2 linked regions of the Arabidopsis thaliana genome follow. The protein of the gene in region 2 purifies or fractionates together with the protein of the main gene of each other region. This does not show direct contact. Each region holds a gene or a part of one and is shown on either strand. Other genes may lie near its edges.

Region 1 (3,756 bases), on a different chromosome or scaffold from region 2:
AAATCAACAATGTCTATAATATGAACTTTTGAGTCTTAAAAGATGCGACTCTCTGAAGTCAAAGTAAGTGAAGTTTCTAAACGACATGATCAGAGTTCAACTGTTAAGAGAAATCTATGAAGCAATGGAACAAATGAAGAGTATAAAGAGAGACTCGTGTGTTGTTGAGTTGCTTGGTGTGTCTTAAGTTGTAAGCAGGAGATAGACGAGGCCTTTTAGATATTCCACTATTTCAGATCCTCCGAGTTTCGAAGTTCCAAAGACTCTGTCAACAAAAGTGATCGGTACCTGCAGATGAAGATGAGCACCAGAGAATCAAGAATATGAATGGAAATATAGTTTAGAAAGAATCAAAATCACAGTGAATTGGTATAAAAAGAGAGACCTCTTCAATATGGTATCCTTTTCTGGTTGCACGAACAATCATTTCCATCTGAAAGACATACCCTTTACTCACACATGAGCTAATCACGTCTTCAAGCGCCGATTTCTTGTATAGCCTTCCAAACAAAGAGGTGCGGAGGTCAGACATGATACTATCAAATGATGTCAGTTAAAAATATGCGCATATGTTATTTGAATTATACCGGAATGATCCTGTTAAATCAGATACACCAGGCCATAAAAGTGTTTGAGCTAGCACATTTGCTCCTCTACTAGTGAGTTTCCGCATAAGATTCCACCCGTGTACACCACCACCTTTTACATATCGTGTACCAGTTACTATACTTGCATTTGTCTCTAGTTGTTTCCTTTATGATAATAAGAAAAAAAACAAATCAGTTGAAGTCACTATAGGTTGTGAAACTAGTAAGAGATCAAGAGACTCTTCTTTTTCTTACTTGATGAAACTTGGTAAGTATTTTGGCTGCACAGAAGAAAAGTGACTGGGTTAGCTAAACAATTAAACAGGTAAACAAGAAAACTAAATTAATGGCTCTTACATGATGTGAAAGATCAGCATCCATGATCACGACGAAATCACCCGTAGCATGCTTCAAACCATGAATATATGCAGTTCCTGAGATTGACCATGCCAAGAAAATTAATTTCATTTCTTGTTAACCAAAACTAGAAGACAATGAAGATACAAATTACATACCCAAACCAAGCTTCTTGGCTCTAGCTCTTAAAAGCTGCATCATAAAAAAGATAAAAACATGATTTCACCTAAACAGAAGAACGCCCAATAATTTACAAATTAAGGTCTTAACACATCATTGTACTCACGATACGGTCTTCACCATACAATTGCTGCAGTTGCTTGACAATTTCCTGTGTGCCATCAGGACTCCCATCATCCACAACAATTATCTCAAAATCAACGTCCCTAAATCATACAAACAAGTAGCGAAGCAAATTCTCAGTAACAGTTAACAAAGAGTCTACTTAACAAGTGCAATTCTATATTAATTTCATATAAGCAGCCATAACCAGAATCGATCTAAGATTAGCACATGTAGCTTCTGACTATTCTCCGATCACTAAATCAAAGTTTTTAAAACACCATGAAACTACTACTATATAGTTTGAGGGATCACTACATTGGCCTTTACTAGCTCATGCACAGAAACAACAAATCACGAATTAGGATCTGCAATCTACAGAAACATGATCGGAAAATTTCCGAGATCCGTAACTTGAAATTGGCGATCAGGTTCGAGTATTCAGTAAAAGAATAACAAAAAACGTAATTCCGATTCTGAAATGAAAGAATGAACGTGAAAAGACCAAAAGAAATAAATATTCATTTACCGGAGATGCTTGAAAATCAGGTAGACTATGATAGCGATGTTGAGGCGCTCGTTGTAGGTAGGAATGATTATGCTATACTTGTACTTCTTCTCTCCTTTGGTCTCCATCTCGTCCGCCATCTCTTCCGGCGAGTTTTGGTAACGGTGGTTCCTTCGTCTTAACCCGTGAAATCAGCCGTCGTCTGTACAAAAATAAGGATTAAAATAATGTCAAATATAGGGACTAAAAAGCAAGTTTCTCAAATTGGGCCTAATATAAATATGGGCCTATATAAAGCCCAAAAATAAATCAGGAAAGCTTTAAAAGAGGTAAACTCGTCAATCGCATCTGAGTCGCTCTTCTTTCCTTCCGCCATTTTTTTCTTTCTAGGTTGCAGAGTTAAAGGAGAAGGTTTTCAATTAGGGTTTTGTAGAGAGAAAGATGAGCCGAAGTTTGGGAATACCGGTGAAGCTTCTTCACGAGGCCTCAGGTCATATCGTGACGGTGGAGCTAAAGAGCGGCGAGCTTTACAGAGGAAGTATGATTGAGTGTGAGGATAACTGGAACTGTCAGCTCGAGGATATTACTTATACCGCCAAGGTAATCAACTGATACTCTGAAGATCTCGATTCATTTTATATGAGACTGTTTTTTGAACCATAGGTTTCGTTTCAATTTCATTGTTTGATGTTAGTGCTGTTAAAACCCTAGATTTGGTGAGCTGGGCAAATTTGCTGGGAAATTTTAGATTGCTTCTTATTTTAAGTTCTAAGTGAGATTAAGAATCCTTGAAATTCATGCTGTATAAAACCCTAGAATGCGTGATCCTGCCAGTGACATTAGATAAATTTTGACTGTAGGGTATAGTCTCCTCTGATTGGTTAAACTTATTATTGATCTATAGGACACATCAATAACTGAGAAGAAAGGTTCTACGTTTGTGCTTTGTAACGTTTTATCCAAAGCCTAAGTTGCTCTTTAGGAATACAGTGGTCAAATGTGAATTATCTGAAGTATGCAGGTCTTAAAGCGTCCTCTTATTTGCGGATTATTGTGCCGTATGGGTTTTGAGTCAACCTGTAATTATTGGGAAAAGAACTACATGTAGTTCTCAATTCAGAAAGTCTTAACTCTTTAAGTGTTATTCTTCATAGTATACATAAATAATCTGTCAACTTAATGGGTTTGTTTGTTAATTGTCACTGAACTTTTGTTTTGGGTTTTCCAATGCTGTGTTACAGGATGGTAAGGTATCACAGCTTGAGCATGTCTTCATTCGAGGCAGTAAAGTCAGGTGCTGTACTTGTTTCCTTGTTTATGTAATTCATGGGATCATTCTTGTTAACCCTAGCTGTTTAGTAATTGACCTGCGGATATATCTTGACAGGTTTATGGTCATACCAGACATTCTCAAACATGCTCCAATGTTCAAGCGGTTAGATGCTAGAATCAAGGTATATATGCTTTTTGAACCCTGGATGCAGAATGATATTAGGATCTCTATACATATCTCCAACAAACATCTTACCTTACTTGCTTAATCAATGTAGGGAAAGAGCTCATCACTGGGTGTTGGCAGAGGTAGAGGTGCAATGCGAGGGAAAGTAAGTTCACCCTCTCTCTCTTATGATTTAGTGCTCATGAATGCAATGTTAGGAAGTTTTATGGAACTTGTTAAGATGTTCAAATCCTTGTTATCCCTTAATGGTTTGTTTCTTCTTTGTCACTACTAATGGTTAGATTCTTGAATCTTTGTGATATTATCTTAAAGCCGGCTGCCGGGCCCGGGCGTGGAACTGGAGGAAGGGGAGCGGTACCACCTGTGAGGAGATGATTGATTTTACGCTCAACATGTAAGCTTTGATTCTGGGATAGTCTTTCTGTGATATCCAGGTGAAAGCCGCCTTTCTTGGTTCTGTCATTAATGCTTTAGAGAACACTGTAAAACCAAACAAGAGAGAGAGATATCCAGATGCACTACTAGTTCTGTATTTTGGGTTACCAAGATGTTTGAATCATTGA
Region 2 (3,756 bases):
AGTGAAATTTTTATTTAAAGTAAAAGGTGACTAATAATTTGGAAGATTCAAAGATTGTGATTCTGCCTCAAGTGGTTTGGTTCTCCAGCCGGGTCTTGCGGTGGGGAAAATGAGAGGTGTAGTTTGGCAGCGGATGACGCCTATCTGTTAGAACCATCTGGGAGGTAATCTATGAGTAGGGCTGTCATTTGGTCATGACCATGTCCATATGGCCGTCCGAGCGGACACTCTCTTTCTGTTGGCTTTGATGTTGCTATTGCAGCCATCTAGGTGTAACAAGCCAATGCATTCTTTTGTGAGCGCATTGGCCGATTAGATTAGCATCGATCAACATAGGTTTTTTCATAATATTTAGTATTGAATTTTTTATATGAGAGGTCACTGGTTAGTGCATAGCTCCTTCGTAAATCATTTATAGGAATCAAAAACAACCAAGATATGAGATGTGAAAAACATACTAATCCAAATGTGCAATTTAGTTAAAAATGTTATAGACAACTGTTAAGTAAAAATGAGGAAAAAGTGACCAGTTATTAATGATGTTATTATATCGTTGAAAAATTTTGATACAAATCGGAAACCTAATCGTATTTTCCAACTTAAACAAAGTAAAAGAAAAAAAAAAGAAAAAAAAGAAAGCAAAGGTTAACATTATTGGTTTCTAAGTTCTAATTTTTAGTAGGAGGCTCCGCCAACAGTTTTTGAACATTGTTCCTTTAGCATAGGAGGAAAAAACGGATTGAACGGAAGTTGCGGAATACAATTGGTTTCGGCTTCCAAAATTGCTTTGCAACAAGCTGAACCTATCTTGCCGAACTTTTCTAAGAGTATGGATTGCGAAAACTCTACGATGCACCCTGGAATATTTATCACAGATGATAAACATTTTGTTATATCAGGTAATCCTGGTACACCGGGACTCGGTAGAAATGGAAATGGAAAAGGAAAAAGTGCCGGAAATTGTGGTAATTGGGCATTTACAGACAATGCAATGCATAAAACCGCTAGAAATAAGATCACGTTTTTTATAGCCATAATAAAAAAAAAAAATGTTTGAAATATTCCAATATATAATTCTTTCTCGTGTTTGTTGTTGAGTGATAAACAATACTAAGATCAAATTTATTTATAGGGGAAGAAATGAACTATGGTGGTACTAATTGAATTTGTCTTTATGAAACGTTTTTCAAATCTTTATTAGGTAATTTAATAACAGGCAGTTTCTTATTTTGATTGAGTGAGCAGTTTCTAAAATTAAAAGATAGTCCACAGCCACACACCTCTATGAGAAATATTTATTACTTTACTATCGATGAGAGGAGATGATATATGTATAACCGAAATAATTCAGAGTTTAATCCAATAAATCCAGTTAATATTAATCCTTCGGTGTTGGTAGATCTTTTGTTCGTTTCTCCCTTTTTTTTTATTCTACAGCAAAAATGGTCTCTTGAATCTAAAGACAATACTCTATGTACAATATCTCGGAGATTCAACGATTTAATAAAAGTTTAAAGAGAATAATAATAATTTTTTCGCTCTTAGACAAAAAGAAATCATTAAAGTTTTTTCAATGAATAATAATAAATTTACAAAACTATACTATATAAATTAATTTGACAAATGGTGAAAAAAAAAAAAAGGCAATACACCTATGTTATGTATAGCCTAACCCATTCTAACTAGGCCCAAATTGAAACAAAGCCCAACAAGAAGGAAAGTGTCATTCATTCTTTCTCGAATAAAACCGTAGAAATTCCCCCTCTTCCCCAATTCCACTGCCAAAACTCTTCGCTTAATTCTCCGGCGTATACAAGTCGCCGGCAAAAATGTCGATGTCGAAGAGCTCCAAGATGCTTCAGTTCATAAACTACAGGATGCGAGTAACAATCCAAGACGGAAGACAGCTAATCGGAAAATTCATGGCGTTCGATCGCCACATGAATCTTGTTCTTGGCGACTGCGAAGAGTTTCGAAAACTTCCTCCGGCGAAAGGTAATAAGAAGACGAACGAAGAAAGAGAAGAGCGTCGTACGCTTGGTTTGGTTTTACTTAGAGGAGAAGAAGTGATTTCGATGACTGTCGAAGGTCCACCGCCACCTGAAGAATCTCGCGCCAAATCTGGATCTGTAACCGCTGTGGCTGGTCCCGGAATCGGTCGTGCTGCTGGACGTGGAGTACCTACTGGTCCATTGGTTCAAGCTCAGCCTGGTTTATCTGGTCCTGTTCGTGGAATTGGTGGACCTGCTCCTGGAATGATGCAGCCTCAGATCTCTAGACCACCACAGATTATTCGTCCTCCGGGACAAATGCCACCACAGCCTCCTTTTGCTGGTCAAGGAGGTCCTCCTCCACCTTATGGTATGAGACCACCGTATCCTGGTCCACCACCGCCTCAGTATGGTGGACAGCAAAGGCCAATGATGATTCCTCCACCTGGTGGTATGATGAGAGGACCTCCTCCACCTCATGGTATGCAAGGACCGCCTCCTTCTCGCCCTGGAATGCCTCCCCCCGGTGGTGCTCCGATGTTTGCTCCGCCTCATCCTGGCATGCCACCTGCTCCGCCAAATCACCATAATCAGCAACATTGATTAGGTAGCTGTTTATCAAGTTTTGGAACACTACTTGATTATCCTTTATTATCTGCTGATGGTTGCTTGTAAGTGTAGCTTGGCTATGATGTGAGATTTGGTTGAAATTGAACTTATTTTGATTTAGCTTGGACTTGTGTAGTGACTGAAGTTTATAAATCATAAGTTAGCTGCAGTCTCTACTAGTCTGCTGATAGTTTATTTGTGAAACCTTTAACTTACACAAAAACTTTCTTGTAACTTGAACTGATAACTTACACAGAAATTCTACTTAATTAGCCTTTATAATTTATCAGCAATTTCTAGTCTGCTTGGCCATGTGTGATTTGTGTGGAATTGAACTTGTCTTGATTAGCTTGGGCATGTGTTGTGAGTAGTAGTCTGCTCATGACTGTCTTAGCTTGCACAGTTTCTAGGTTGTTGATGAGTGCTTTGTTGTCAGTTGCTTTTCTTCTTATGTTTCCTTAAGAGTATGATCACTTTAAAAGGTTTGTTACTATAAAGCATTCTAGAATCATCACATTGTGAATCCTGTAACTTACACTCAGAAACTCTCTTGCCTGTTGTTCTAATGAGTTTGAAAAACCCTTATTACACTTTTAGAAGCATGAATAACTCATGATGAACTTCTCAGTTCACTTTTAAACGTGTTTAATATCTTCCCAACTAGTAGAACCTTTATGATCCTTGTTTAAGGTTTGTTCGTGAATTTTGTTTTGGAAAGCTGTAGATGTTGTAGGGTTCATTAGCTATATTGGAAGAACTTGTGGATACATCTTTTTGCCCTTGCTCTCTGTTGGCATATGATATTGGATGATTTTTTTTTTTTAATATCTCTGTTAGAAAGATCTGCTAAGTACAATTTTCTCGATCTGGATTGTAGGAGTCACTTCATCTACAACGAAAGCAACATCCACATGATTGAGTTACCCCTCGGCTAGTCGTAGCGTTTTTCTCCGTGAAGCTCAGAGAATTGATGAGTTCATATTGGTGATTTCTCGTGGAAAAAGCAACTGATTTTAGAAATAGTGAACTTGTAGGAGTTACAACCTTGCTCCATGAACTTGAATGTATTACTTGTAAAAGAGGCTCTCAATGGTTTTGACTGGCAATTCGGTTCTCAACATATATTAGGCTATGTTGCTGGTTATGTACGTAACAA

Evidence for each region. The genes of interacting proteins can lie anywhere in the genome.
Region 1: the proteins of AT5G44500 (region 2) and AT1G20580 fractionate together in Arabidopsis thaliana (co-fractionation; one large-scale study listed by BioGRID). This does not show direct contact.

What each region holds. Positions count from the first base shown.
Region 1 is NC_003070.9:7,126,804-7,130,559, forward strand, and holds the start of AT1G20580 (Small nuclear ribonucleoprotein family protein), read left to right. Parts: upstream 1-2,063; 5' UTR 2,064-2,175; coding exon 2,176-2,334; intron 2,335-2,975; coding exon 2,976-3,028; intron 3,029-3,121; coding exon 3,122-3,188; intron 3,189-3,284; coding exon 3,285-3,338; intron 3,339-3,505; coding exon 3,506-3,568; 3' UTR 3,569-3,756. Other genes in the region: DPMS1 (Nucleotide-diphospho-sugar transferases superfamily protein), read right to left, coding at 184-288, 386-500, 588-752, 843-868, 945-1,021, 1,103-1,136, 1,231-1,330, 1,756-1,874. UniProt on the Arabidopsis thaliana protein: Core component of the spliceosomal U1, U2, U4 and U5 small nuclear ribonucleoproteins (snRNPs), the building blocks of the spliceosome. May play a major role in the splicing of cellular pre-mRNAs. Required for normal plant development.
Region 2 is NC_003076.8:17,925,676-17,929,431, forward strand, and holds the start of AT5G44500 (Small nuclear ribonucleoprotein family protein), read left to right. Parts: upstream 1-1,771; 5' UTR 1,772-1,829; coding exon 1,830-2,594; 3' UTR 2,595-2,598; exon of another isoform or gene 2,599-3,477; 3' UTR 3,478-3,756. Other genes in the region: AT5G44490 (FBD, F-box, Skp2-like and Leucine Rich Repeat domains containing protein), read left to right, coding at 89-168; AT5G44495 (ECA1 gametogenesis related family protein), read right to left, coding at 676-1,035.